Linked DNA regions of Rattus norvegicus. The protein of the gene in region 1 purifies or fractionates together with the protein of each later gene. This does not show direct contact. Links are inferred from orthologs where the notes say so. Each region holds a gene or a part of one and is shown in the gene's direction. Other genes may lie near its edges.

Evidence for each region.
Region 2: the proteins of Hdac2 (region 1) and Mecom purify together in Homo sapiens (affinity purification with mass spectrometry; 3 studies listed by BioGRID and IntAct, with this or other methods). This does not show direct contact. The link is inferred for Rattus norvegicus from reciprocal best matches to the Homo sapiens genes HDAC2 and MECOM.
Region 3: the proteins of Hdac2 (region 1) and Macroh2a1 purify together in Homo sapiens (affinity purification with western blotting; 3 studies listed by BioGRID, with this or other methods). This does not show direct contact. The link is inferred for Rattus norvegicus from reciprocal best matches to the Homo sapiens genes HDAC2 and MACROH2A1.
Region 4: the proteins of Hdac2 (region 1) and Zmym3 purify together in Homo sapiens (affinity purification with mass spectrometry; 6 studies listed by BioGRID and IntAct, with this or other methods). This does not show direct contact. The link is inferred for Rattus norvegicus from reciprocal best matches to the Homo sapiens genes HDAC2 and ZMYM3.
Region 5: the proteins of Hdac2 (region 1) and Ehmt2 purify together in Homo sapiens (co-immunoprecipitation; 4 studies listed by BioGRID and IntAct, with this or other methods). This does not show direct contact. The link is inferred for Rattus norvegicus from reciprocal best matches to the Homo sapiens genes HDAC2 and EHMT2.
Region 6: the proteins of Hdac2 (region 1) and C19h16orf87 purify together in Homo sapiens (co-immunoprecipitation; 4 studies listed by BioGRID and IntAct, with this or other methods). This does not show direct contact. The link is inferred for Rattus norvegicus from reciprocal best matches to the Homo sapiens genes HDAC2 and C16orf87.
Region 7: the proteins of Hdac2 (region 1) and Mier3 purify together in Homo sapiens (affinity purification with mass spectrometry; 3 studies listed by BioGRID and IntAct, with this or other methods). This does not show direct contact. The link is inferred for Rattus norvegicus from reciprocal best matches to the Homo sapiens genes HDAC2 and MIER3.

The regions. Positions count from the first base shown.
Region 1 is NC_086038.1:42,101,647-42,105,926, forward strand, and holds the start of Hdac2 (histone deacetylase 2), read left to right. Parts: upstream 1-1,480; 5' UTR 1,481-1,686; coding exon 1,687-1,738; intron 1,739-4,280. UniProt on the Homo sapiens protein: Histone deacetylase that catalyzes the deacetylation of lysine residues on the N-terminal part of the core histones (H2A, H2B, H3 and H4).
Region 2 is NC_086020.1:114,836,547-114,840,692, forward strand, and holds the start of Mecom (histone-lysine N-methyltransferase MECOM), read left to right. Parts: upstream 1-1,346; 5' UTR 1,347-1,629; coding exon 1,630-1,666; intron 1,667-4,146.
Region 3 is NC_086035.1:8,543,550-8,547,768, forward strand, and holds the end of Macroh2a1 (core histone macro-H2A.1), read left to right. Parts: intron 1-3,013; coding exon 3,014-3,179; 3' UTR 3,180-3,719; downstream 3,720-4,219. UniProt on the Homo sapiens protein: Variant histone H2A which replaces conventional H2A in a subset of nucleosomes where it represses transcription. Nucleosomes wrap and compact DNA into chromatin, limiting DNA accessibility to the cellular machineries which require DNA as a template.
Region 4 is NC_086039.1:70,571,148-70,574,221, reverse strand, and holds part of Zmym3 (zinc finger MYM-type protein 3), read left to right. Parts: intron 1-226; coding exon 227-395; intron 396-638; coding exon 639-790; intron 791-1,360; coding exon 1,361-1,475; intron 1,476-2,506; coding exon 2,507-2,761; intron 2,762-3,074. UniProt on the Homo sapiens protein: Plays a role in the regulation of cell morphology and cytoskeletal organization.
Region 5 is NC_086038.1:3,937,911-3,942,194, reverse strand, and holds the start of Ehmt2 (histone-lysine N-methyltransferase EHMT2), read left to right. Parts: upstream 1-1,484; coding exon 1,485-1,764; intron 1,765-1,871; coding exon 1,872-2,078; intron 2,079-2,179; coding exon 2,180-2,436; intron 2,437-4,284. UniProt on the Homo sapiens protein: Histone methyltransferase that specifically mono- and dimethylates 'Lys-9' of histone H3 (H3K9me1 and H3K9me2, respectively) in euchromatin.
Region 6 is NC_086037.1:37,817,187-37,820,686, forward strand, and holds part of C19h16orf87 (UPF0547 protein C16orf87 homolog), read left to right. Parts: intron 1-3,150; coding exon 3,151-3,333; intron 3,334-3,500.
Region 7 is NC_086020.1:45,042,662-45,046,161, forward strand, and holds part of Mier3 (mesoderm induction early response protein 3), read left to right. Parts: intron 1-2,773; coding exon 2,774-2,901; intron 2,902-2,981; coding exon 2,982-3,124; intron 3,125-3,202; coding exon 3,203-3,500.

The DNA.
Region 1 (4,280 bases):
AATCCCCAGCCCCAAGAAGGTTTTAATAGTCATATAAGAAAGCCTCTCATTTTATTGGTGAAAAGCACTTAAACAAAAAAAAAAATTCAAATGGCTTGCTGGAAGTCACAGGCACTAGACTAGATTATGTTCAGGGAAAAAAAAATCGACTTATCCTCTTGTGAAAGTGTCCTACTGAGAGACCAGTTGAGGAGTTACGGCCAACAGTTAACATGTTAAATGCTGAACTAAAAGGACACTTGGTATTAAAAAGCACGGGAAACAGACATGGGAGAACACTGTAGTCCCTGAACCTACCGTGTTAATCTCCCAGGGTCTTGTTAAAAGTACAGGCTTGGGAGAGAAGTGGATGTGGTGAGGGGTATCTTGGAGTGATTTTTAAGTCTCTTGGAGTAATGTCTAGAAGATTGGTGTTTTAAGTATGGAGAGTCCTGGGGGTCACAAGGTAGAAAATAATTATTTTTGTTAATGACTCAGTATGGTTCTTACTTCAACCCCTCCTCTTACGGAAGGAAGCGGTGTGCGCATGTAGCCGGAATTGTAAATAATAACGGTTAAGATATGTGAGTGTTGGATTTGACAGCCAGCTCCCATCCTTTCTTTGCGTAACGTTTAAGAAGGTTGGTTTAGACTGGTGCTCAATAAACGTCAAGCTATTAAAACACAGGGACTCCAATGTTTAAATCCATCCTTTTGGATTGTCTGACAGTCTGATACAGTAGACAAAGCACGTGGAGTCTGGAAAAGTTTGACACCCGTTCGGTCCTCAGATGACTCACACTTGAGGGCTCCTTCATTTACCCGCACCCATAAGGAGATGCGCACGGCGCGTGCATCCCGGCACCTTTGACACCTTTAAATGGCGTTTATTATAAACAGGTTTGGGTGCTGGGAACCGCGCTTATGCTTGAGTCCAAGAAATGCTTATTAAACCCAGGAGATACCTTCAGCCATTAACCTCTCTGTAACTCAAGAGTAGTTATCAGAAGGGAGGAGAGAACAGGAGAATTAGAACGCGTGGGAATATCCGACCACCAGGCAGCCCGGGGGCAGCCCTGGGGAGCTCTCCAGCGGGTTCCCCTCGGAGTCCCCGCGGCACGTGGCGGGCTCGGGCAGGCGCGTCGCGGCGGTGGGGGAGGGGAGAGGCGTGAGCCCTGGCGGAGGGGTCTAGACTGCCCGGGATCCGTTTGAGCAGGCGCGGAGTGCGCAGGCTCGGCCCCGGTGCAACCAGTGCGTGCCAGACCGAGAGGGGGACGTGGTGGCAGAGCGTTCGGGACTCTGAGCACAGGGCCAAGGTCGGCTTGTGCGCACCTCCGGACTGTGTGTGTGATAAGACATACGGAGCACTGCTGCAGCCTCGACCGGTGGCATCCACTCCGGCCCGGTCTCTCCTCCGGCCCGTAGCTGTGTTTCCCCCTCCGCGCGGCCGCAGTGGTTCCTCCCAACTCGCAGCCCCGCCGCCCGGAGGCCTACCCCTGCCGAGTGTCGCGCGTCGGCGCCGCTGCCAACCCCGCTCTGCGATCTCGGGCCCTCCCGGCACCCGCTCGCCGTCCCGCTCCGGGCTGTCCTTGCTGCGAGGGCCGCCGCGCCCGCCGTCTCCCTCAGCCCTCTTGTCTGGCCGCCGGGCCGCGGCGGGCGAGAGCAGCCGGAGGAGGAGCCGCAGCCAGGAGGCGGCGGCCGGAGCCCATGGCGTACAGTCAAGGAGGCGGCAAGAAGAAAGTGTGCTACTATTATGACGGTAAGTGGCCGGGGAGCCTGCAGCGGGGCTGCGGGTCGGACGCGGCGGGGTATCGAGGGTGGCAGCCCGCGGGGACACCGACACGGCCTACCCAGCGCTCGCCCGCCTACTCGGGGACGCCCGCCTTCGCTCCTCTCCGGTCCTCCGCTCGGGCACGCGTATGTTTGGGGTGCACTGCCTGGGACCGGTCTCGGAGGAACCCCTGTCGGCTCCCCGGGCCTGACTGCACAAAGCCGGCGTCCTGGAGCTCCGCCCTGCGTCCCTGTCCCCTCCCCCGCTCGCCCGGTCCCCCCTTCTCGCCCCCGATCTGTCGGCGCTGCGCTTCCAGCCTCACCCGGGACCCCGGCGCCCGGGTGGAGCTGCGGAGGAGTTACTGCTGGCCGGGGGCCAAGTTCGCAGAGCGGCGCTGTCTCGCTGGTGTTTTGCGTGGACTCCATCCCTCGCCTTTGTTCGTCGGGTTTCTTCAAGCTCCACTTTCTCAGGGTTCGGATGGAAGGGCTGCACTTCCTCCGTGACAATTAAAGGGTTTTGAATTGGAAGTAGGTAGGCCTGTGGGGAAGTGATGGGAGAGAGGGAGCGTGGAGTTGCTCTTGTTTGGTGGGTCTTGGCATGTCTCTATGGGAGGTTATTACCACCCACTTCTTTGTTGGTCTTTGTTCGATCCGCAGTTATACTCTGCTCTGGGGCTTAGGAAGGAGCATGGGCATCTTGGTTAGGAAGTCTGTCCAAGTGTGGTGGGGACCCTGCTGCAGCAAACTTTGAGAAGTAGACTACATATTCCATACAGGTAGGGCTGAGCTCAGAGTGCAGTGGACGGTACAAGGTGACTGTACGTGTTCCCTAATTTGGAATATAAGCAGTCATAGTCTCTGGGTCCAATTACACTAGATGGAGTAGTGCCCTGCCTTACAGATTTCACCCAGAACATTAATTGATAACTATTGAGAGAAGTAATAAGGAAATTGGACAGAACTAGCTAGCCTCACGGACTCGAAACGCTTCATCTCTACAAAGCAATACGAAATTGGGAGCGTTTTCTGTAGTTGGTGCATTGAAGTCTTGGAGAGGTAGATTACAGTGTAGAAAAGCAGGCCGAATGAAACCGACTTTAGCTGCAAATAACCGTTTGTTTTCTTGGTTTGGTCGAATCTTTTTTAATACAGGCTTTAAATGAAATAGTCACCTGTCATTGGCTGGAAAATCAAAAACCTGACAGAAAGCTAGGTCAAAATAGAAACAGCTTTTAAATGGCTGTTTTGTTTTCTGAGATAGGCTCTCGATAAGTTGACCTGGCTGTCCTGAAACTGTCCTATGTAGACTAGGCTGACTCTAACTCCGAGATCAACCTGCCCCCGCCTCCCAAATCCTGGGATTAAAGGCGAGTGCCACTGGCTTAATTGGCAGTTTGAGAGGACTACATTGAAAAGTTACACTATCGTGGAGAGCAGAGATGGGAAAGCATGACAACTTAGACATGACTTAACCATTATGAAGTGGGATTCATGGCAGACCCCTGACCTGCATTCTCTGATCCATTGGAAAGGATGCACTGTATGAATTAACTTGAAAAATTACAATTACAGCCTTTCCAAAGTAAAGGTTTGCTCTGCTAGAGGGTAGAGTCAGGGAAATAATGAACTGTTGGGGAACAGCTCAGTCTCTTCTGCTGTCAGCTTCTTTCCTCAGCTATGAACTCTTAAATCCCATGTAACCTTGACCGGGTCTGATGGAGAACCAGACAGTACTCTAGTGTGTCTTGAGCAGCGCCTTCTTCCCGGGTTCCTGTGTGGGGATGAGCCTTTACTGAGGGATGGGATAGACGGGTGGATGGAGGTATTTTTCAGTCATGTGATTTTTAACTTACGCCCATGCAACAGCTTTACCTAGATGTAAGTAACCAACTGTACAACTAATGGTGGAAATCTGCTGGGTTATCTGTGAAAATCTGTCTGGTTCTTGCTTGTTTTTAGGATGGACGTATTTTCATTCCAAATATTTGCATTAAAGAAAGTTAACAAAAAATGGAAAAGAACACTTAAATTGGTGTCTTAAGCTAATTAACATGTGACATGTGATAGCATGCTAGACTACAGAAATAATTCTCTACATGTCTGTCTTCATTACTGTCTGCAGTACTGGACCTGTTAGATCTCTGTGCCACTGCTCTGTGAACTTTTGGATAGGGGCATGTGAGCTATCCCTAATCCTCAGAAGAGAAATCAGAGTTCTTAGTAGACTACGACTATTGATTGACTGCTCATCCTAATTCCCAGAAACACATTTCTGAATTTTGGCTAATCTCTTATTAAAGATCAATGCTTCATCAAATGATCTGAAGCTAATTATGTACACACTAGTATACTTTCTGACCTTAAACCGAGGTTTTTTGCTTTTGGGGGGTTTTTTGTTTGTTTTTTTTCTCTATTTAAGTGTAATTTAGCAGATGGAGCCACATTTGGTTCTAATTGCAATGCTCATGGTTTTAATACTTCATCTAGAAATGTGAACTATGCCTTGTTTGGAGTGAAGCTTGGGACCAATC
Region 2 (4,146 bases), on another chromosome or scaffold:
CTCTAGGGACCTGTATTTTATGTCTGAATGCCCCTGGAATTACACAGCTCTGGGGAGGGGAAGGTGGTGGGTATCCTTAGTTGAGGTAGGTCTTGTAAGCGTTGGTTTTCTTGGCCACCGAAGTCCCCTGGGAATTGAACCTAGATATTAGCTCTCTCACAACCGCAGTCTGAGCTCAGACAAAATGAATACCAACAGGTGCAACTGAGTCCCAACAACCCGCCTGTCCTCCATTCTCTCTCAGAGAAGACGCCAGGACCAGCTTCCCCCCCTGTTCTTTCTGACTTGAGTATGAGGATGGTAGCAGCACCGCACGGAAAAGATTGCAATTTTCTTTTATGGCGTCTGGCAGGATTTGCAGCAGATATTAATGGAGACATAAATAGCACGTGGAAGGTATTGAACACAACTGTTTAATGAAAGAAGGTTGTACTAAGAGAAAAATCCATACTGAGTTGGGAGTGATTCATACCTCGAACACACCTAACCCCTTGCGTCCTCCTCTCTGCCTGCACACTTCATTAGTAAATTCAGTAATTAGGCACATTTCAACAATGTTCTTTTTGTATTTTCTAGGTATGCGTATGGAATTTCCCCCCTTCCTCCTTCTGGTGACCCCAAAGGTTGTAGGTTTCAGTAAGTGAGTGGAAATGGCAGGCAGACTGAGTAGCAGCAGGAGGCCGGAAGGTGACGGCCGACCTTAGGCAAGGCAGGAGGTCTTGGATGTCAAACACCCAGCACGGCGGGACCCGAGCATCAAGGGCGATTGTTGCTACTTGATGGAAACAGACTACTGAAATGTTCCAAGGATAGCAGCTACCGTTAGTATTATAGCTAAAATCGAGAACCGGTTATTCATCCAAAGCGGAAGCCCCAGGAACTTCAGGAGGAGAGCGCGGGCAGCAACAGCAGATCTCTCAAGTTCAAGATGCTTCTCGCCTTCTGATAATGCGTTCACGGTCCAGCCCTCAATCTAGTTCTTTTGAAGACGGAAAGATTTAACCTAAAGTATTTTTTTTCCTCCTCCGCTCGTTTCCCCTATAGACAATGTAATTTATGGTGGAGAAAACATTAATAATAATTACAGTGCAGGCTTATTGTTGACTCCCACACAGGCACAGTCCTCTGCCCCACGAATCAATTCTCTGTCCAAGACTTTGCATTTCTTTTCTTTTTCTCCCCCCCCCCCGTTTGGGTGAAGTGTCTGCTCCCCTCCAGCTCCCCACGCTCGCTCCCCGCCCCCTGCCGCCCTCCCCGTAGCTCCCTTTCTCCGCCTCCTCGGCGATTGCCATCTGACAAGATCTCCAAATCAAAGTGATAAATCGCTCCAAACTTTTTTTGGCGGCGCTGAGATGTTGGAGGGGCGTCTAACGCGCATGTGCGAAGGTGTCCAAACTGACAATGCTAGAGATAGCGAGTGTGGATTGAGAGAAAGAGAGAGAGGGAGGGAGAGAGAGAGTGAAAGACCGAGTGTGTGTGTGCGTGTGTGAGACGAGAGAGAGAGAGAGAGAGAGAGAGAGAGAGAGAGAGAGGAGGAGGGAGGGGGAGAGAGAGACCAAAAGAAGGAAAAGATCCAAGAAAAAAAAAAAAACCTAACCACCCAGCAGCGGCTGCAGAACTGGGCACAGCATGAGATCCAAAGGCAGGGCAAGGAAACTGGCCACAAGTAGGTGCAATATCCCTTTTCTATTGGCTTCCCCCCCCCTTCTCTGCCATCTTGCATATCTGTGTCTAGCACTCGGGGAGAGAGCGCGGGCTGCTTTGGCGCGGGGGGCCCCGGGTGGAAGGCAGGCGCAGCGCAGCCTGCAGCCCGAGCAACCTGCCGATTTCTGCCTCCGCTCCCTGGCTCCTGCTCTGGGCGCAGTGGAGCCGCGGTAGCCCTGAGCCCCGCACCAGGACCAGCTGTGGCAACTCCGGGGTGGGGGTGGGGGCAGCAAAAAGCTGAGTGGGAGGGAGGAGAGCGCGCGCGAGTGAGCGCGAAGGGGTGGGGGGAGAGGAGAGTGTGTCCCCCTCCCCTCCCTTCCCCCCCAGGCGGGGGAGAGTCGCCTCTGGCCAACCAGCTAGTCCCCGGAGCTGGAGGAGGGGGGAGGGGGGCGGGCAGGGGAAGGGCGCCTTTCCGAAGCTCTGTTTGTTTCTGGGGTTTGGGATGGGTGGCGGGCTCAGAGGGAGCCGTGGTGGCTGTGGCGGCAGCGGGCCGCGATGGAGTTGGGAAAAGTTGCGAGGCGGCCGCTTGCAAGTTGCGCGGGCGATCGGCGCTGCGCCGAGCCGCGGCTGCGGTAGTGGGCGCTGTGCGCTCGGTCCTTGTGTGCGGCGGCGTGTGCGGCGCGCCGGGAGCCCTGGGGAAGGGGAGGCAGAGGTGTGGGGGGGCGCGGTCCTGGGGATGGGTTGGGGGAGCTCCGGCAGCGCCGAGCTCTCGGCTTCGCAGAGTCACTGGGCAGGTGGGGAGAGCGGAGGCCTCGCTGGCGTTCTCCGGCCTGGGGGCGGAGGGCGCGCGGCCAGCCGAGAACGCAGCACCATAAGGCCGGGAGGGCGCGCTCCGACCCGAGAAGCCCGGGCTGGCAGGGCGCCGAGTGACCCCCAGGGGGCGGGCTGTCGGAACTCGGGGCCGCGGAGGGGGCGCAGTTCAGTCTGCCACTTTCTTTCTGGGTGCAGCAGGGGTCCCGGGTCATTGGTCCTCCCCGGCGCCCTCTGCCTGCCCGGAGCGGAGCAGCCTCGGTCACGCGGGACTAGGGCAGTGGGGTTTGAGGCTACGGGGAACGGGACTCCCATCCCCCACGCTTTCAGCGAAGGCTTGGGTGACACTCAGGGACAGCGTAGGGTGGGAAGCGTTGCTTAGCACGGACCAGCAGGCGTCTGTGCTGGGTTTGTTCAAATGCTTCCGCCCAGCGTTGAAGGGGACCCGGCGAGCAGCCTGCAGTGTACTTTCTCCCTCGGATATCAGAGCTGCTTCGAGAGGGGACCGGCCAGACCGCCCATGCCTCTCACACTTGGACTTGAGGAATCTCGAACTCTCTTTAATTGTTTTGTTTCGGATCAGAGGCAAAAGATAGGATGTGGGTATATGTTTTCCCCAGTGAAGTCCCCAAGCGTACCCCCCTCCCAATCCCTTGCACATTGGAATTTAGGGCTGGAGGCACTGCATGCGGCACCACCGGGCGCGTCCTGGCTCAGCGGCGCCGGCTACAGTCGCAGCTCCCCTGCATTCTCGTTGTGGAGAATCCAACGTAACGCCCGGCGAGACGCCGTCCTCGCGGGCGTCTTTCCAGAGCTCCAGCCACTCCGTACTCGTGTCTTGCACTCACACACTCTCTAGCGGCATCTTTTCTCTCAGAACTCAGGTCGCAGGGATCAATCTAAATACAGGGCCGTCGGCCTCCTGGGTCAGTCAGCCTGCTTCTTTCTCTGCTCCCACGGCTCCTTTCACTTCGTTGTAACAGTGTAAAGTGCGCCAGCGAAACTGTTTTTCCTGTTGGCTTTTCATTGAGCCCGGTGTCTTTATTTTCACCTGAGAGAGAATAAATGCACACATGCTTGATGGCTTTGAGACTTCAAAGGTTAGGTGTGTGTGTGTGTGTGTGTGTGTGTGTGTGTGTGTGTGTGTTTGAGGGGAGGCGGGGAGATCGTTTCAACCGAGCAGTAAGTTGTGAAATGAAAGCCTGACTAAGGCTTTGCACCCTGCCTGGTTGCCCTGCATCCGACCAAGCGAAAGCAGAAAGCAAAACCTTTCGAATTTTCTTAAGGATCGTACCCCCCCCTCCCCGCCCCGACCCCGCGAGCCTTAGCCATGTTAATTGCTAAGCAAGCTGTACACCCTGTAGCCCACTACTGAGCCCAGAAGCTGAGCCTCCTTTCTGATCTGATGAGACTTGTCAGTCACCGCATGTGAGATACATTGATTTTTGTCTCGTGTCGGGTAAGGATGCCCGTGTGCTTTCTAAAGAGCGGGACCCCAGGCTTAGGAACTTTTCCTGCTGAGCCCCGGGTTCCCACTAGCAGGGCTTTACTGCTTCGGCGGCGGCTGCCTTCCAGAGACACGGGCGCTGCTTCGTGCAGTTTTCAGCTACCGTCTGAGCAATAAAGGAAATCATATCAGAACTACGGATTTTTGTATTTTAAAGCGCTATTTCCTTTCGCCAAACTGCGCGT
Region 3 (4,219 bases), on another chromosome or scaffold:
GCATTCAGATGGGAACCAAAGTAGTGCCCGTGCTTCGAAGCCTGTGTTTGTGCCAGCGTCCAGGTCTGCAGCCCTCCAGCACAGTTGGGCACCATACACTGGTCTGCAGGCTCTGGCAAGCTGAGGCGGGCGTTGCTTAAAGTGCTCACAGTAACTAAATGCCAACGGTCACTCAGTCGTAGCTCTCTGAGGCTCTGGGGGATAGTCTCCCACCTTCGGATGATCCTGGAGTCCAGTTGTCTCTAGCAGGCCTGGACCCCACACTCTACCTAATTAATACATATCATCTTGTCCCACCACTCTGACCTGACCGGGCTAGGGCAGGGCACAACCCAGAAGCGGAGGGCATCAGGTCATCTATGATGGGGCAGCCAAGGCACTGTGTAGCTACAGAGGCTCTCACCTTAGGGGAGCCATGAATCTACTTCATCACCTGTGTGTCTAGCTAGGGCAGCTAGGGGGCGCCTGGGACCCTGCCCAGCAGCACAGGGAGATGCCCGTCTTGCTTCTGCTTCTCCCCATGGTCTGCTACTTTAGAGCGGGGCTCCCTAGGACCAATCCAGGCTCCCATTGGCCCAGCAGCAGGCCAGATTAGAGTATGGTATGTGAGGTGGGCGGTACCCTACCAGAATAAACCTCTCAGCCTCCCTTTCCCCAGCTTCTGCATTCTGAGAGTCCAGACTGTGGAGTCCTGACCCGCTGCCTGCATGTAGGCCACGGCTCCCAGTCAGAGTGGCCGAAGGCCTGAGGGGCAAAAGCTCCAGGTGCAGAGCCCAGCCGGGTGTGCAAGGCAAACTCTCTGTGATGTCAGCACCAGCCACAGGTTCAGAGTTAGAACCCAGGACCAGGGAGGAGCCTTCCCTCAGCCACAGCTGAACCGGCTAGGCGTAACCTGCTCCTGTGATGCTCTTAGGAGACTGACCTTGCAGTCGGGAGAGAGGCCAGGGCAACACCATGTATCTTCATCACATCACACACTTGGCCGGTGCCCGGCAGAGTCCAAGCGCACCAGCTGGCTGAGCGCACAGGAGCAGCACGCAGCTGTGACCGTTCGTCTGGGGGGCCTCCCCGGCTCTGCTCATCTGAAGGGGCGTGAAGTGAGGCAGGCAGGCAGGCAGGCAGGCAGGCCGGCCTTCAGTAGCATGGCACTGGTGGAATATGGGTCAAACCTACCCATGCAGAGAACAGCTCCCTGCACACTCTCCTCAGAGCCTGCCAGCCCAGGTTGTGCCCACGGACTGAGGTCTGCCTGCCCCGGCCACCCTCTCTGCTCCCTGGGCCTGGATGCAGGCTCCAGCAGGATACACACAGAGGGTGGAACGCGCTCTCTCTACAACAGATCAGCAGTTCCCACCTGGCCCGTTCCTGTGCTCCCCTCTCTGCCTGAGAGGATTGCGGCCACTGTGCCAGCTGCCTGGTGCCTCCCTGCAGCCCTGACTTCTGTCACACTGACCCCCAGCTTAGCTAGACCATCAGGCTTGTTCCGGGAAGAAACCAGACTGTCTGGAACTCCGAGCCGAGCTCCATGGGGAGAGGCCCTGAGCATGTATCACACCCCACAATGGCCCAGGTCTCCCAGGCGAAAGCAGGTCGCAAGAGCTTTTCCTGTGGCCTTGTGAAGAGCCCTGAGCACTAACAGCTGGGGAGAGTGCGGCTCCCGGGGGCGGGGTGGGGAGTCAGGGTCACAGGCACAGTGTAGAAGGCTGCGTGTGCTGTGATCACATCATCAACTCAGAGAGGACCAGCCAGAGTGGCAGGCAGGTGGGCTAGGGACTGTAGACTGCAGTGAGCAAGGCGTAGCCCTGAAGGCTGCTCCAAGCAGAGTTTCCTTCCACTGGGCCAGACCACTCTGTAAGAGCACATGCTGTATTGGCCAGGGACTGGCTCAGGCTTCCAGGTCCTGAGTTCACACTCGGAGCCCCCTGTGACATCAGTGGCAGGATGCTGACTTGGAGACTTCCGTGATGACCTGAAGTCAAGGTTATCGACACTTGCCCCAGAATTCTGCTCTGCACCACGGTGGCTGCCCTGCCTGCCCTCTGCTCTAACACTAGCTGGTGCAGTTTGGAGATGGTCCCTGGACCAACAGCCCTTACTGCCACTTGTATAGAGCACTTGTATAGAGTGCTCTATACAACTCGAGGGCAGAGCTACTCAGACCCCATGGCCATGGTGGACTGACACTGATAGGCGCCTCAGCAGTGGAGCTTTCATGGACTGCCGGTTCCGGGGACCATGGGGAAAAGCAGCAGGAGCTTGCGCACCTTGACCGCTCCACGCTCGGCATTCAGTGTCCTTGGTTCTTGCTGCCACTGTCTAGAATGCTCTCTGGGTCCCACCTCTTCTTCCTGCTCACAGATGCCTGGTTATATTGCCTGTCCCTCGTCTTGTGAGCGCTGGATGGCTCTGTCTGTTCTACCACAGCAGTGCTTATGGTTTTGAACGAGTTGAGCTTGTTTAACACGCAGCAAGTGGACGTGAAGACAGTAAGCAGCAGAGAGACTGCAAACTTCACACCAGGTCATGTTACACTTAAAACATCCCAGCAGAAACCAATTCTAGACGCCTAATGGAGAGAGCAAGCCGCTCATAGATATCAAACCAGTTAGCAGTGACCTGCTGGGGGAGCCCCACCAAAGCCATGTCTGCCTAGAGCTCCCAGAGCTCCGAGCAGTGTCCAGGGATGAGCTTGGCTTCCTGTCCCCACAACAGACATTTTTATACCATGGACTAACGGTAACCTTGCTGGCCATCCACTCTCCTTTCCCCTTGCATCAAAGGCAGTCTGCCTCAAGACACGGGGGCTAGGAGGACACCTGGGGTAACTGCTGTGAGACGAGGGAGGTCATGTTGTAGAGCTCACACCCAAGTGCCAACGGTGTGTGACAGCTCTCTAATACAGCTTACCCTGTGAGGGCTTTCTTCACACCTGTGGGAGCATCTCCTGCCCAGGGTGAGGACCCTGCTCGCTGTAGACACCTTGAGTGCTGACCCCCTGTGTTCTCTCCTACAGGAACGGGTTCCCGAAGCAGACAGCCGCCCAACTCATTCTGAAGGCCATCTCCAGCTACTTTGTGTCCACTATGTCGTCCTCCATCAAAACTGTGTACTTTGTGCTTTTTGACAGTGAGAGCATAGGCATCTACGTGCAGGAAATGGCCAAACTGGATGCCAACTAGGCCAGCGTTCCCTAGAGCCAGCACATGTCGTGGCCCCCACCTCCAACTGGAAAGAAAGAAAAAAAAAGAAAAAAATCCCCTCGGCTCTTATGGGGAGGTGGGGGCTCCTTTCCTTTTCAGTTCTGCTCATCTAGGGGAAATAAGGTTTTGGTTTCCGGTTTGATTGTTTTTGGCCTTCTACAATGTTTTCTGTTAGCACTGATAGCTGGCATTGTCCTTGCTAAGCACTGCGTTCCAGACCGTGTCTGACTTAGTTAACCTAGGAGATTTTATAGTTTTACTTTAATGAAGTCCTGATTAACACAGAGCAGTGGAGAGACCGTGCCCCTGTGTCAGCAGCAGCAGCAGCAGCAGCAGGAAGCCCCGTTTGTAACGCGTGTTGTGGTGCTTTACTGTACACCCAGTGGCGTTCTTTTTACTATTACGGTTTTTCCCCCTCAGAAGAGAAAAAAAAATCATAAAATTTGCAACAGACCTAACTTTTGTTTACTTTTTTGTCTTAATGATAGATTTGAAAATGAAAAATGTTAAAAAAAAAAAGACAACTGGATCTGTGGTCCTTATTATATTTGCAGTTTTTTTTTTTTTTTTTTTTTTTTGGTTCTTTTTTTCGGAGCTGGGGACCGAACCCAGGGCCTTGCGCTTCCTAGGTAAGCGCTCTACCACTGAGCTAAATCCCCAGCCCCATATTTGCAGTTTGAGATTTGTGCGAATCAACTTAGGAAAGCGTTGAACTGTCGAGGCTGGCCACGTGTTGCGTTACTGCGCCTGCGGGCCCCAGGCCTGTGTCCCTAGGACACAGGTCCAGGCAGCGCACACCCAGGAAGCTCCCGGATAGTCCCACGAGAGTCTGTGGACGGTCCCTGGACCTCGGCGGGTAGGTCAGACATCTGCTGGCCCTAGGATATGTAGCGAATTCACGTAGGAAGCTTGGAGTCTCGAGTGTGGTTGGGGTGTCAGTCCCACCTCACAGAGAAGTTAGAGAGCGCACCCACAGCCGCACTGGAGATGAAGCAGCCAATGCTAGAGCAGAGCCTTGC
Region 4 (3,074 bases), on another chromosome or scaffold:
TCCCTGGCCTCCTTTCTCCAACGCTAGAAATACTGAGACCTAGCTCTCACAGTTTGCTTTTCTCTCAGTAAACAAGATCATCAAAGTAATTCTGGGACTCTGCCATGGAAGCTTTCCGTGGTCTTATCCCAGTGCTCCCATTTCTGATGGTGAGCGCTGTCCTGACTAGCTTCTTTGCTGCCCTGGCCTTGCTTTGCTACCTTTCTCCCTTTGACTTCCTTTCCAGGGTCAAAAGAGGCTGATGCTTTCTGAAAGCTGTTCCAGAGACTCTCTGAGCAGCCAGCCTAGTTGTACTGGTCTCAACTATTCATATGGTGTCAATGCTTGGAAATGCTGGGTACAGTCAAAATATGCCAATGGAGAGACCAGCAAAGGTGATGAGCTACGCTTTGGCCGTAAGTACATGGGAGGGAAAGAGAAGGGTCTATAGCTAGGATCAGCTGAAGATACCTGGAGTGGTAAGGGTATGATCACCTATGGCTTCCCCATCCAGTAAAGACAGCTAACAGTCCAAGGCTGAGGACACCTTGTAATTGTTTTTCAGGAGCTAGTTATGAGTGAAGGGCTGTTGGTAGAGCTAAGTGAAATTCTCCAAATGACGTTTTCTTAACCCTGCCCTCTACCACATGTCACTACAGCCAAACCCATGCGTATCAAGGAGGATATTCTCGCCTGTTCAGCTGCTGAGCTCAACTATGGTCTGGCCCAGTTTGTGAGAGAAATTACTCGACCCAATGGTGAACGATATGAACCTGACAGTATCTACTACCTGTGTCTTGGTATTCAGCAGGTAACTCTCGCACACCACTGGGTTTTCTCTCACCTCCCACACAGTATACAGAATTCTACTGGAACTGTTTCTAACCCATCCCTCCTTGTCACTTGTCTCTGACCCTGAATAGGCAGCTTGCTTAAATTTCCTATGACAAATAGACATCAATGACCTCCTAAAATCAGAGCTTCTTCATTCAAGGACTCTTGTTCAAGCCTCAGTGTTGACTGCTATTTGGATCCTCCAGGTCACCTTGAATTGTGTTTTGAGGAAGGATGTGGGGGCTGAGTTCCTTGAGCAGTTAGGTAGTGTTTAGTTCTGCCTAGGAGAGCTTAGCAGGTATGACTTGATATGGGTGTCTGAGCTTATGAGGACCATCTCCAAGCCTCTGCCTCTTTCAGCAAAGCCTCCGTACATCAGCAATGCAGGAACACATAACACTCCGGGTTATCTACTCAAGCAATTGACTCCCATCCCCTTTTAATTATCAAGGACCGCGACTGCAGCTTCATCATATGCTCTTTCCTCTAGGTCCTGGAGTCTAGGACCTGTAGCCTACTTTATGTATGTCTGTTTTTCTTTCTTTAGTATTTGCTGGAAAATAACCGAATGGTGAACATTTTCACGGACCTTTACTACTTGACTTTCGTTCAAGAACTCAACAAGTCTCTGAGTACCTGGCAGCCCACACTCCTCCCCAACAGTAAGGGACAGAACTTAGCAATCCCTTCCCCTCTTTCCTTCTTCCAACATACCACTGCAAGAGTCCTGTACTGGCCGGCCTGTTACTCTTCACTAAGGGTTCAAGGGTAGGAGTATGTCCTGGATGCCTCAGGGTTTCCGGCTAATGGAGCCAGAATCTGTGCCCTTGAGCATGAGAAAGAGAACCACATGTGGTGATGCATACCTAGAATCCCAGCACCAGGGGGGGCTGAGGCAGAATTGTGAGTTCTGGGCCAGCCTGGACTATATACTAAGATACTGTCTTTTTTGTTTGTTTGTTTGTTTTGTTTTGTTTTTTTTAAGAAAAGAACATGAGTTGAACTTGGTGGTATGTGCATTTAATCCCAGCACTTGAGAGGCAGAGGCAGGTGGGATCTCTTGAGTTTTGAGGCTAGCCTAGTCTACATAGTGGTTCAAGACCAGTCAGGAATACATAGGGAAGCCCTATTTTGTTTTTCTTTTTTGTTTTTTTTAATAGGAACACTTAAAAAAAGGAAGATGAAAGGGTCAAGGCTTCAGTCTCATCCAGGAGCAATAATTTGTGGCTATAGTTCAGGCTACTCAGGAGACTAAGACAAGATGTCAAGTTCAAGGCTAGCCTGAGCTACATAGAGGAAAACTTTTCTTAAAAAGAAAAAGAGAAAAAAGACTCAGATCTTTAGATTTATCTCTGGGACCAGAAATAGTCCAAGTTTCGGTGATACGTTGATAAAAAAGAAAGCAAGATGTAGGAATTCTAAGCTTAGTGTCTACCTGCATATAACTTAGAGGTGGTCAGAAAAGTGTTGCATGCAGGTGAAGAGTATATTAAAATGCTCAGTTCCGGGACAGACAAGTCACACAGAAAAACCCTGTGTCAACTCTCCCAGCCCCTAATTTCCCAGTCCTACTGTGTAGGTCAGGTGCCAGGATTTATATGCAGTAAGAAGCCCAGTTAAGTGTATGCATGTTAGGAACTCAGGTGGCTTTGGGAAGCCGACCCCCGTTGTTTTTTCTTTTTGTCCATCACAGATACTGTATTCTCCCGTGTGGAGGAAGAACACCTCTGGGAGTGCAAGCAACTGGGGGTTTATTCTCCCTTTGTCCTTCTCAACACCCTCATGTTCTTCAACACTAAGTTTTTTGGACTGCAGACAGCTGAGGAACACATGCAGCTCTCTTTCACTAATGTGGTGCGACAGTCTCGCAAGTGTACCACGCCTCGGGGCACCACAAAGGTGGTGAGCATCCGCTACTATGCCCCAGTCCGACAGAGGAAAGGGCGAGGTATGAGGCTATCCCCTTCCTTGACTTTTTGTACTTTATGTTCTTTTTCATGGCATCCCCACCATACCTCTGCTTTGTCATTAGCTTCCCTCTGTGTTTGCAGAAAAGATGAAAAACAGGCCTTCTGATACACAGTGGCTGGCTGTCTCATAATACGAGGGCAACTAACTGCCTGTTTCTCACCTTCCTCATTTCTAGACAATTTATTTGCTTGCCTTCTTTTGAGAGAATGGGGGTGAGCAGGTAGTAAGCCATTAGTTGTGTCTGACCAACAGGGAGAGTTGAGAGTGAATCAAAACCTTTTTATGATTCA
Region 5 (4,284 bases), about 38 Mb from region 1:
CCAGCTCTCAAGCAGAGACTAGGAACACGCCCTAAACACCTTGGCAGAAACTTTATCACACGAGTGATTGGCAGCCCCAGTGCTGGAGTAGACCTTGTGGGGTTTGGTAGCAGTGCAAGCCATGGACCACAGGTGGCCAATGAACCCACAGAGATGGCAAGCAGGCATCAGTTCGAATTTTAAGGAAAGTCGAAATACCAGCTCAACTTACAGTCCATTACCTAGAAGACTACATTTCCCAGAAAGCTCTGAAAAGTTTTTTAAATCCAAAGAGAACTACAGTTCCCAGAAGACGCCGAATTGGCCTCGGGCCCAGTAACATAACTACCTGCTTGTCTAATACTGTGTGTAAAACCAATGCAGGCATTTTCCAACTTTGCTCAGGACTTAATGCCTGGACAGGGATGGTGCCCTCGATAGTGTTCAGGGCTTGTATACTTGCCGTGTCCACCATTCACGCTTAGCTGTCAGCTGGACCATGAGCCCCCGATGGTATTTGGGCAGAAATAGTTACTGTCAATAGACTGTAGTCGCCCTCGAGGCCTCCGCTGCGTTCAGTTGTCATCTCTAGTGCAACAGAAGACATTTCCCCTCCCAGATTTTCAAAAGCACACTGACCCAGAAGTAAAGGTGTCTTCCGAGAGTCTCTGTCGCCCCTTCTTGTGCACTAGAGTCTAAAACTAAGAGCCAGCCTTCAATCTGGCGGCTCAGAACCAGAAAGACACACGCGGCAGCTGCAGAGGCTCAGGCTACACGTGTTACCCAAACCGGGCGGGGACAGGGAAGCCACAGCCCAGTCGGGCCTCACCCTTGTCTCCCGGCGGAGCCGAGGCTAGGAACGAACGCCCTCTCCCCTACAACCCCAGTTCTGGACCTCCAGGGCCATTTTGGGGGGCAAAAATGTCCAAAAGGCCCGCAGCGGCTCCTTTAAGGCGTCTTCTCGCCCTCCCTCCCTGTCCACGTGACCCGGGGCGGCCGCGCGCCGGCTCGGCCCCCCGCGCAAGCGGCGATGGCGGCGGCGGCGGGAGCTGCTGCGGCGGCGGCCGCCGAGGTGCGGAAGGGGAGGGGGAGAGGCGGGTGCATGCCCGCGCGCGCGCCCGGGGGAAGCGCGCGCTCGTGCAATGCTCCGGGGGTGCAACGGGGCCGGGGGGCCCGAGCCGAACTTGCAGCAAACCAGGGGGCCAACACCGGGGGCGGATGAGGGGACCAGGGGGTGGGAGGTGGGGGGAGTGGGCGCCGAGTCGCACGTGCCGCCGCCCGCTGCCCCTGCGTGGGCGGTGGGCACCGCGACCCCGGGAGCACGCGCGAGGGGCGCGAGGGGCCGTCCGCCGGGCTGGGGCGCAGCGGGCGTTGCAGGGGTTGGTGGCCGGGGTCCCCGCGGCCTGGGGGACAAAGGGGGAGCGGCGCGTGCAGCCGGGAGGAGGGGGCGGGGCCGGGGCGCCGAGGCCCCGCCCCCTCCCCCTCCTCTGCTCCCGGCCCCAGAGATGCGGGGTCTGCCGAGAGGGAGGGGGCTGATGCGGGCCCGGGGGCGGGGGCGTGCGGCCCCCACGGGCGGCCGCGGCCGGGGTCGCGGGGGCGCCCACCGTGGACGAGGTAGGCCCCGAAGCCTGCTCTCGCTGCCCAGGGCCCAGGCGTCTTGGGCCCCCCAGCTGCCTGCCGGGCTGACCGGCCCTCCGGTCCCTTGTCTCCCCTCCCAGGGGGAGGCCCCCGCTGAGATGGGGGCGCTGCTGCTGGAGAAGGAGCCCCGAGGAGCCGCCGAGAGAGGTGAGTGCGGCCCGGGCAGGCCCGACCGGACCTCCACCCTCCCCACCCCCAACACGGGATCCGGGCAGCCTGGAGCCCTGAACTTTTTCTTTTCCCCTCCCCGACAGTTCATGGCTCTTTGGGGGACACCTCTCATAGTGAGGAGACCCTTCCCAAGGCCAACCCCGACTCCTTGGAGCCTACCGGCCCCTCCTCTCCGGCCTCTGTCACTGTCACCGTCGGCGATGAGGGGGCTGACACCCCTGTCGGGGCCACACCGCTCATCGGGGAGGAACCCGAGAACCTGGAGGGAGATGGGGGTCGAATCCTGCTGGGTGAGAGGCTGGGGAGCGAGGGAGAGGGGGTGTAAAGGGGGCTTTCTGCATTTCTGCTTACCCTGCACCCCCCCACCCCCGTCTGCCTGCCTCTTTTCTAGGCCATGCCACAAAGTCATTCCCCTCTTCCCCCAGCAAGGGGGGTGCCTGTCCCAGTCGGGCCAAAATGTCAATGACAGGGGCAGGAAAGTCGCCCCCCTCGGTCCAGAGTTTGGCCATGAGGCTGTTGAGCATGCCTGGGGCCCAGGGAGCTGCAACTGCTGGGCCTGAGCCCCCTCCGGCAACAACTGCCGGCCAGGAGGGGCAGCCCAAAGTACACCGAGCTCGGAAAACCATGTCCAAGCCTAGCAACGGACAGGTGAGAGTGTGGAAGTCGGGTGGAAAAACTGGGGGAGTCTGGCTGGGAATTTGTTTTGTTTTTGTTGGTGGTTTTGGGTTTTTTTGGTGGTTTTTTTTTCTTCCGGGATTTAGCCTCCGGACCTCTTGTATTCAGATTTTTTTTTTTTTTTTTCGAATTTACCAATAGGCTACCAAGTGTCAGCCTCTGGGCTGGGCTTCTGTGAGCGGAGTAATTGTCGGCTTCCTGGAGTTTGTGTTCTTGGGGGAGGGGTGGTCAGCAGCGGAGACTGACAGATGTAGAGTTAATTATGTAGTTATTGTCCTATAATTACACTTATACAAATGACCGGGCTGATCAGCCTTCCCGGTTTGTGTGTGTGTGTGTGTGTGTGTGTGTGTGTGTGTGTGTGTGTGTGTGTTTTGTTTTGTTTTGTTTTTGTTTTGCCTTTGAGCAAGCGCCTAGGGAAGGGTTTTTGTTTGTTTGTTTGTTTTGTTTTGTTTTTAAATCCCTACTTTGAGACCATTTTCAAACCAGATAAAGTTCTTACTGGGAACTCTTCCTTGGGGGGTGACAAGAACCCCAGAGTCAAAATTATGCAAAGTTTTAAAAGCTCCTGACTCACCTTAAGTGTGGCTTGGGCTGGGTCTTGTTTGCTTTGCTGTTGTTTGTTTTGAGGGGCTTATTTTGTTTGGGGGGAGGGTGTGTGTGTGTGTGTAAGTAATAAGATCTCGCTGTGTAGCCCTAGGTGGCTGGCTCTGTAGACTAGGTTGGGTTAGCTCACAGAGGTCCACCTTGCTCTGTCCCCCACTTCCTGGGGTTGCAGGTGCCACACACCTGCCTTTTATTTATTTTATTTTTGTTTTTGAGACGGTCTCATGTAGCTCGGGCTGACTGAACTTGCTATAATACCAAGGATTTCGTCTTGAGCCAGCCTCTGCATTTAATTTTTTTCCTTTTTTTTTTTTTTTTTTAAAAAACATATGCTTTATGCTTGTGGGTGGTTAATCTGCATGTATGTCTGAGAACCACCGTGTGTGTCTGGGGTGCCCTTCAAGGCAAGAGGGTGGTGGATCCCCTGGAGCTTGAGTTTGAAGGAGTTGTGAGTCAGTGCTGGGAACCCAACCTGGGTCTCCCCCTTGCTCTTAACCACTGAGCCACCTCTCCAACTGCTCTCATTGCTGTGCTTCTGGGAAAGGGATTACCTCATCATGGTGGGACTGTATTCCTCTGGTACAGAAGGCCGTGTGTGAGGCTCAGACCCCTCATAAAATTATGAGAGCAGCCAAGAGGCAGAGGCCAGCTAAGCTATCAACATTTGCGTGTGACTTAGGCGTCTCTTCCTTACAGAGACGTTGTAGATGACTAGTGGATGTCCGTATCGGTAGTTTAAGACTGATTACAGACTTCTAGAGTTTTATCTATTGCTGGGTGTTGGTGGCACACGACTTTAGTGCCATTACTTGAGAGGCAGAGGCCGGCAGTTGAAGGCCAGCCTGGTTTCTTGGACAGTCAAGGCTACACAGGAAAACCCTGTCTTGAAAGAACACTTATTTTAAGTGTGCTTGTGGAACGGGGGAGGGGCACAGAAGAGGACATGTTTGCGGAGCCTGGTCTCTGCCTTTTCATGGTATCCAGGGAGTCAGACTCAGGTTTAGGTTTGCACAGCAAGCACGCCTACCCGCTGAGCCATCTTGCTGGCCCGATGTTCTCTCTTTAATTGGCTTGTTTTGTTTTCTTTTCTAAGGTTTGTTTTATGTGAGTACACTGTAGCTGTTTGTTTTTAAGATTTACTTATTATATATGAGTACACTGTCTTCAGATTCACCAGCAGAGGGCAGTAGATCCCATTACAGATGGCTGTGAGCC
Region 6 (3,500 bases), on another chromosome or scaffold:
GGTTAGCAAGCCTTAAGGATCAGCCTGTGGCCGCTTTCCCAGTGCTGGGATTATAAGCAGATGTCACCATGCCCATATTTTATATGCTGCTGAGGATCAAATGTGAGTTACAAGTGCTTATGTGACAAGTGCTTTACTGACATCAAATCCCTAAAAGAAAAACCTTTAACACACCATACTGCTATAGAACATTAATGATAACTTTTTAGTATTGAATGTTCAACAGCTGTCTTAGGGTTTCAGTTGCTGTGAAGAGACACCATGACAACTGCAATTCTTAATAAGAAAAACACTTATAGTTCAGAGGTTTAATCCATTATCATCCTGCCAGGCAGCCATGGTACTGCAGAGCTGAGAATTCTACATTCTTGATCAGCAAGCAGCAGGAAGAGAGCTTCTGACACCTTAAAGCCCACCCCCAGTGGCACTCTTCCTCCACCAAGGCCACACTTATTTTCTTTTTTTTTTTTTTTTTTAGAATATATTAATCAGGTTTATTGGGAAGCTGGTCCTGGACAAGTATAGTGGCCCCTAAGAATGGAGGACGACAGAAGAGTCGCCAAAGGGGGAGGGGGAATAGGGAGAGAGAAAGAACGGGCAGGCATACAGAGAGAAAATAGAGAAGGACAAGAAGAGGAGGAAGTGGTAGTGAAATTGAGAGAGAGAGAGAGAGAGAGAGAGAGAGAGAGAGAGAGAGAGAGAGGGAGAGGGAGGGAGAGAGAGAGAGTCCAAAATATAGGGAAGAGACTCTGGGCAAAGTGCAACCCAACTCCTGGGCTGGAAAGTTCAGGGCTGGGCACAGCAGGGCACACTTATTTTCCAATAATGCCTCTCCCTATAAGTCTGTAGGGGCCGTTTTCATACAGAGCACCGTGTCAGCTCATGTTTCTGTTCTGTTTCCCCGCCCTCCTACTCTGCTTTCTGTTGCTGGAATAATTACCAGAAAGCCTTTATATTGTGCTTGGACCCTAGGGACATAGGCTAACATATTCCCTGAACGATCTGATTTTTATTTATTTATTTTTATTAGTTATTTTATTTATTTACATTTCAAATAATACCCCCCTTCCCAGTTTCTTCCCCATAAACCTCCTTGCCCATCCCCTTCTCTCCTGTGATCTGTGTTTCTAAGTTGAAAGTTGGCTTTAAAAACGATGTGACTGGCCTTGGGCTCTGTCATTGTTTCTGCAAACCTGGTGACCCCTCTCCATTCTTCAGACTGGCCAGGCTTCTGCAGGAAATGTGGCACACCAGCCCTACAAAGTGACACAGTGCAGCAGGGACAAGGACTCTGGGAGGGCAGGGGGGTCGGGCAGGGAAGTAGGGTATGGCAGGAGACCGTGTGGTGACAGTGGCCAAACTAAGCCTGTTTTCCCTAAAAAGGCTAAACTTACAGAGAAGGTTGAGTGCGTTGAGCTCAGCTGCAGACCTATGAGAGCACTGGCTGTGGAGAGGTGTGAGTGGTGAGTGGGGGCCTTTAGAAGGAGAACGGGCCCGTGGTCCACTTCTAAGCTAGGTGTTATGAAGACAGCAAGATCAGGAGCTTGTACTAAAGATAAACAACCAAAGTCCACAAGACTGAATTCTTTAGTTTTACTTTTACCTGACTATAATTGGTACTCTGTCTGTCTGTCGTTTATCAATGTTGGCAGTTGTGAAGTTCGAAGACACTCTGGTTCTAGTGCTTATTTAGTAGGTCTAATAACTGAAACACCCACTGATGTGGCCTATTAGCAAAGGCAGGAAGGAGCAGGTGGGATTCTGGGAAACAGTCGGGTGCGGGAGATTTGCCCCCCAGATGCAGAGGAGGTCGGGTGTATGAATCTGAGGAGAGGTAACCAGCCGTGTGGCAGAATGTAGATTAGTATAAGCAGGATAACTGAGTTACAAGCTAAATGGGAGCAACTGTAAGACAAGGCCATAGACCTTGTGACAAATAAATCCTCTTCATGCCACTCTTCAGGAGCTGGGGAGGACATAGAAAAGCACCAGATGCTTACACACAGTGACTTACATAGTTACATACAGTACAAGTAGTTTGAGCTTTTAATGTGATATACTGGAGGTTTTAGGATATTTGATATGTTTTATTTTGCTACAGTTGTACTCTTAATGGTATTTAGATTGTCCTATTATGGTCATTAGAACCTGCTTCAAATTAAATCCTACATCTTTCAATAAGTCCTCAATTATATTTGGTGACTTTTTGTGGTCTGGAATAATTGAATATTCTTGTGTAATCCAGTATCCTTGAGTCTTAGGCCCAGAATAAACTTTCTACAATGACATGTAGAGGAAGTTAATAGTGATTTATGCCTGCCCCGTTCTTTGAGACAGGGTTTCTTTATGTAGTGCTATCTGTTCTGAGTGTAGACCAGGGCGGTCTAAACTCACAGAGCTCCATCTGCCTTTCCTTCCTGAGGGCAGGTGCCACTGTGCAAGTCCCCACTCACACTGGTCCTTAAGTCTCCATCTTTCCCGTTATCATTGTGGTTTTAGTTATTTTGGAAGTTAATTTTCTGTTTCTTGAAGTTAGATGTATGCTGAAGTAAAAACATTATTTTAATTTAACATTTTGATTTGTTGGGCATAGGGGGCCTCTTGCAGTAATAAAGTCTCTATATTAGTGAGTTCCTGGATTGTCCACTCCATTCATGGAACAAGATTCTGTTATATCAAGGATCACCCTTCTCCGTGGGTTAGGTGGGAATTCCTTACTTTCTGTGTCTTAAGAGTATGTTGTATGTGTGCTCTGTGGTTGGTTTTATTGTAACCTTTGCTACGCCTCAGGCCAGTTTTACTTCTAACCTACTTATTCACTCTGTAATTGAGGTAAGGGCAGAAAGCAATGGATCCACCCCACCCCCTTATGTGTGTCTGTGTTAAACTTGGAAACGTGATGGAAAAAACAGAAAGGTTGTTGTGGAGCAGGGCCTGGAATTAAAGCTGCCAGGTGAAGACATTTGCTATCTCTTAGAAGACCTTCCCTAACTTCATACGTCTGATTTCTATTGGTTGCTCTATGTGAGCATGGGGGCACTGGAGCTAGCGTTTACAGACTTAGAAAATATGCCAGGAAGGGAAAGGAAGGTACTTGGCAAATCGTTGTTGTGATGCCCTGAAATAAATCACTTTTATTTATCCATACAGAAAACAAGCATGAGGCCAAGAGGAGGCGAACAGAGAGAGTCAGGCGAGAGAAGATAAATTCTACAGTAAATAAAGATTTAGAAAACAGAAAGAGATCTCGAAGTAACAGCCATTCAGATCATATCAGACGAGGAAGAGGAAGACCTAAAAGTTCATCCGCCAAAAAACACGAGGAAGAGAGAGGTATGGTTAAACCCCAGCGCTTCCCAAATACCAAGCCGATAAAAGGGAATAATTAGATAATAGTAGTGATATAGTGGGAGCTTTGAGCTTAAAAAAAAAAATCACAATTCATATTTTGGTTTAAAAACATTTTCTTTTTTTCATTGCAGTACTGCATTTTGAGCCCA
Region 7 (3,500 bases), on another chromosome or scaffold:
CAAGGGATTATTACTAAGAGCATCTAAAAACCTGCGATAATCACTGGCCATTTGGGCAGTGTGGGTGGGCCAGGCAGGGTGGGGCAGGGCAGCAGCAAGAATGGTTCAGCCGCCTTGGGCAACTGGGAGTGTCTGATGCTGTACATATTACTAAATGAATTAGCAGTCCCCTCTCTGTATTGACACCTAGATGAGTTGAAAACTTCATGTTCAATCTGAACCTGCATGAAAATATTCAGAGCAGATTCAGTCAGCTTTTATTGTTGTGCCAGTACTTAAATCCATAGACTGGTGACAATCCAGACAATAGGCTGTCACTTAGTATTAAAGACAGTAAAAACAGCAAATCGCAAAAGACATGGGGAATAGCTTTACATATTTAATGCTAAGTGAAAAGTATTCAAGAAGACTGTGTGCATCCAAGGCTCTTTCTCACAGCCTGACACTGGAAAAGTGAAAGTGCTCTAACATTGAGTGACTGCAGAGGCTAGGTAGGAAGGCGGGAAGGAGGTAGAGGACGTAGAGAAGTGTGGTACTGGGAAGGAGTCGTACATGAGCCCAGTAGTCTCAGGCTGTGGGTAACAGTGGTGGATGGAGCAATGCAGGCTTAGCACATTCTAGCCTAGACAGGGACAGGGAGCTGGGCCTGTGTGTGCAGCAAATACACGGGAAGTCCATACTCAGGAACTCAGTACTACTCTACAGAGTCAAGATACAAGGTCTCCAAATGTTTGTCGGGCTTTAGTCTTGATTGTTTCTGTTGAACTGCCTGACTCCTTGGTCAAAGATCATATTTATCAGTGCTTACGTTTGTGGGCTCCTTGAATAATGTGTTTGCCTTCTCTATCTAAACACTACAGTATCAGATTTTCTTTGCTATCCCTGTCCCTCTCTCTCCCTTCTTTGAGACAGGGTCTCACTGTGTAGCCCTGGCTGGCCTGGAATTCACTATGTGACCAGGTTGACTTCAAACGCCTCTGCCTCCTGAATGCTGAGATTAAAGCCATGTGTCTCATACCTTATTCACACTGTTGGTTGCAAGGCGTTAAAGTAACAAAGTTCCTTTGCTTTTCAATAGAGCCCCATGTTTGCTATCCTAAGGCTTTGTGTTCCATATAGAATCAGTTAATCAGGTGTCCTGAGTAACCTGGGATTTTATTTGGGATCACACAGAATCATTAGTCTTCTTATCCATGAACGTGGACTATCTCTCCACTTCTTTAATTCATTAAGTGTTTTATAGTTTTACTCATATCTAGTTGAAGGCACTGATGTATTTTCAGTAAATTTCACGTCATTATTTGTACATAGGGAAGTTAAAGGTTTTTCTGAATTTCTGGTTTGTTTTTTTTCTGTGTTTATATATACATAGATACTTATTTACCCAGACAGACCTCAAACTTAGTGATCTTCCTACCCCAGCCTTCACAGTGCTCTGATTATAGGTGCGAACTACTCTGCTTGGCTATAGTAGGTTAATCTTCATGGTTTACTCCTCAACCCTGAAACTGTGCTAAAACTGCTTGTTGGTATTTTACCTGTTTTGATATTGGTGATTGAACCTGGCAAAGCCTCACATGTCACTCATCCCAGCCGTCTGCATTTTGAGACTGGGTATCCATCAGTAAGTTGCCTGCACTGGTCCTGAGCTTCCTCCGAAGCCAGGCTGGCCTTGAGTGAACGGACACTCCTGTTTGTTGAGCCGCTGCCTGACTGGACTCCAGCCACTTCTGTTCTGTTGATTCTCTGGGTTTTTTGACAGCTTCTGCCACTTCTGATGGTTCTTTCCTTCCTTTCTGTTCTGTGTGCCTTTTTTTTTTATCTCTGCGTTTCTTGTTCCTTTTTCACTACTGTGTTGGAAACTTCTGCTGTATATACAGTGTGAATAGACAACACACGTTTAGAGATGTCTGGGTTGTGTCCTAAACATCAGTTTTACATAAGCAGTTGTATCCCACACTTACATACGCTATTTTAGGCACTAGAGATTCATATCAGTGGCTAAGACAGAAAAGTCGTGTGGCTCCAGGAAGCCTGTATTCTCTACAGGCACTATATGCTTATAGTTAATGATGGTTATTGAAAGTTATGCTGCATTTCCTGGTGTCAAAAGCTTCTCCCTCTATTAGTGACATTAGATCACAGCTTACTCTGGAATCAGGAGAGAGACTCTACAATGTCTGTATTGGGGCACTCACGAATTGGAAGAATGTGTACACTGAAGATAAGGAAGTCTGTATGGTCTCTTCTGACTGTAGCCGGCTGTCTGACTTTCCAGTCAGTTGTTACGCCTGTTGCAGCTAAGAACCAAACATGGGGCAGAGAGGCCCTGCCTCGGGTAGCGGCGTCCTCTGCAGAGCTGGAGGCTGCTGGGCCAGGATTCACGGAGTCCTTAGATCATCTGCTGAAGCTGTTGTTCCTCCTCAGCTACCTGCCCATCATTAGGGGAATTAGAAGCACAACCATTCATGGACCTGTCCTTGGATGCTGGCTAATCCAGACAGCTGTCAGTCACAATGAGTGTTTAATCACAATTGTTTGAGGATTTTTTTTAGTAAACAGAATATTGTTTGGATGTGCATTTTATTTTGTTTTTAGCAACTTGTGCTTTTGAAATCTGCTCATTCTGTAGTGACAAGTCACTGATAGACATACTTAGAATTTGTAATTGTGCAAGGAAAGTCCTGTGAATTTAAGCTTCCTTGTTGATGGTCTTGCTAAATAAAAATGGAGTGGGGAGCATCAGTTTGCAGTGTCCACCTTCCTTTCCCAGGTGAGATCGAGAACTGTTGCTGAATGTGTAGCCTTCTACTACATGTGGAAGAAGTCAGAACGCTACGATTACTTTGCTCAACAGACAAAATTTGGAAAGAAACGCTATAACCATCATCCTGGCGTTACGTAAGTATGGTGGGCTTGATTGAGTGACTGCATTGTTTAACTCTGATGCACAGTTATGATTATTGATGTGTATTCCTCAGGGACTATATGGATCGTCTTGTAGATGAAACAGAGTCTCTGGGTGATACGGTCAGTTCTTCAGCCTTAACTTCTAACCGGCCTGAGCCCATTCCTGATCAGCCGCTGAACATTCTCAGCTCCTTCACTGCCAGTGACTTGACAGGTAAGATGAGACTGCCTGCACAGCCTCTGTTACACATCAAGCGACCACTCACCTAATCTACTTTCATTTCTCTTTTAGCTTTGACCAACAGTGTAGCAACTGTCTGCAACCCCACAGATGTGAGTTGTCTGGATGATAGCTTTTCTCCACTGGGGAACGCGCCCCGTGGACAAGTCAATCATGTGCCTGTCGTAACGGAAGAGTTACTCACCCTGCCCAGCAATGGTGAAAGTGATTGTTTTAACTTATTTGAGACTGGATTTTATCACTCAGAGTTAAACCCCATGTGCAGCGAAGAATCGGAAAGACCAGCAAAGAGATTGAAAATGGGCATTGCTGTCCCGGAATCCTTTATGAATGAGGTTTCTGTTAATAA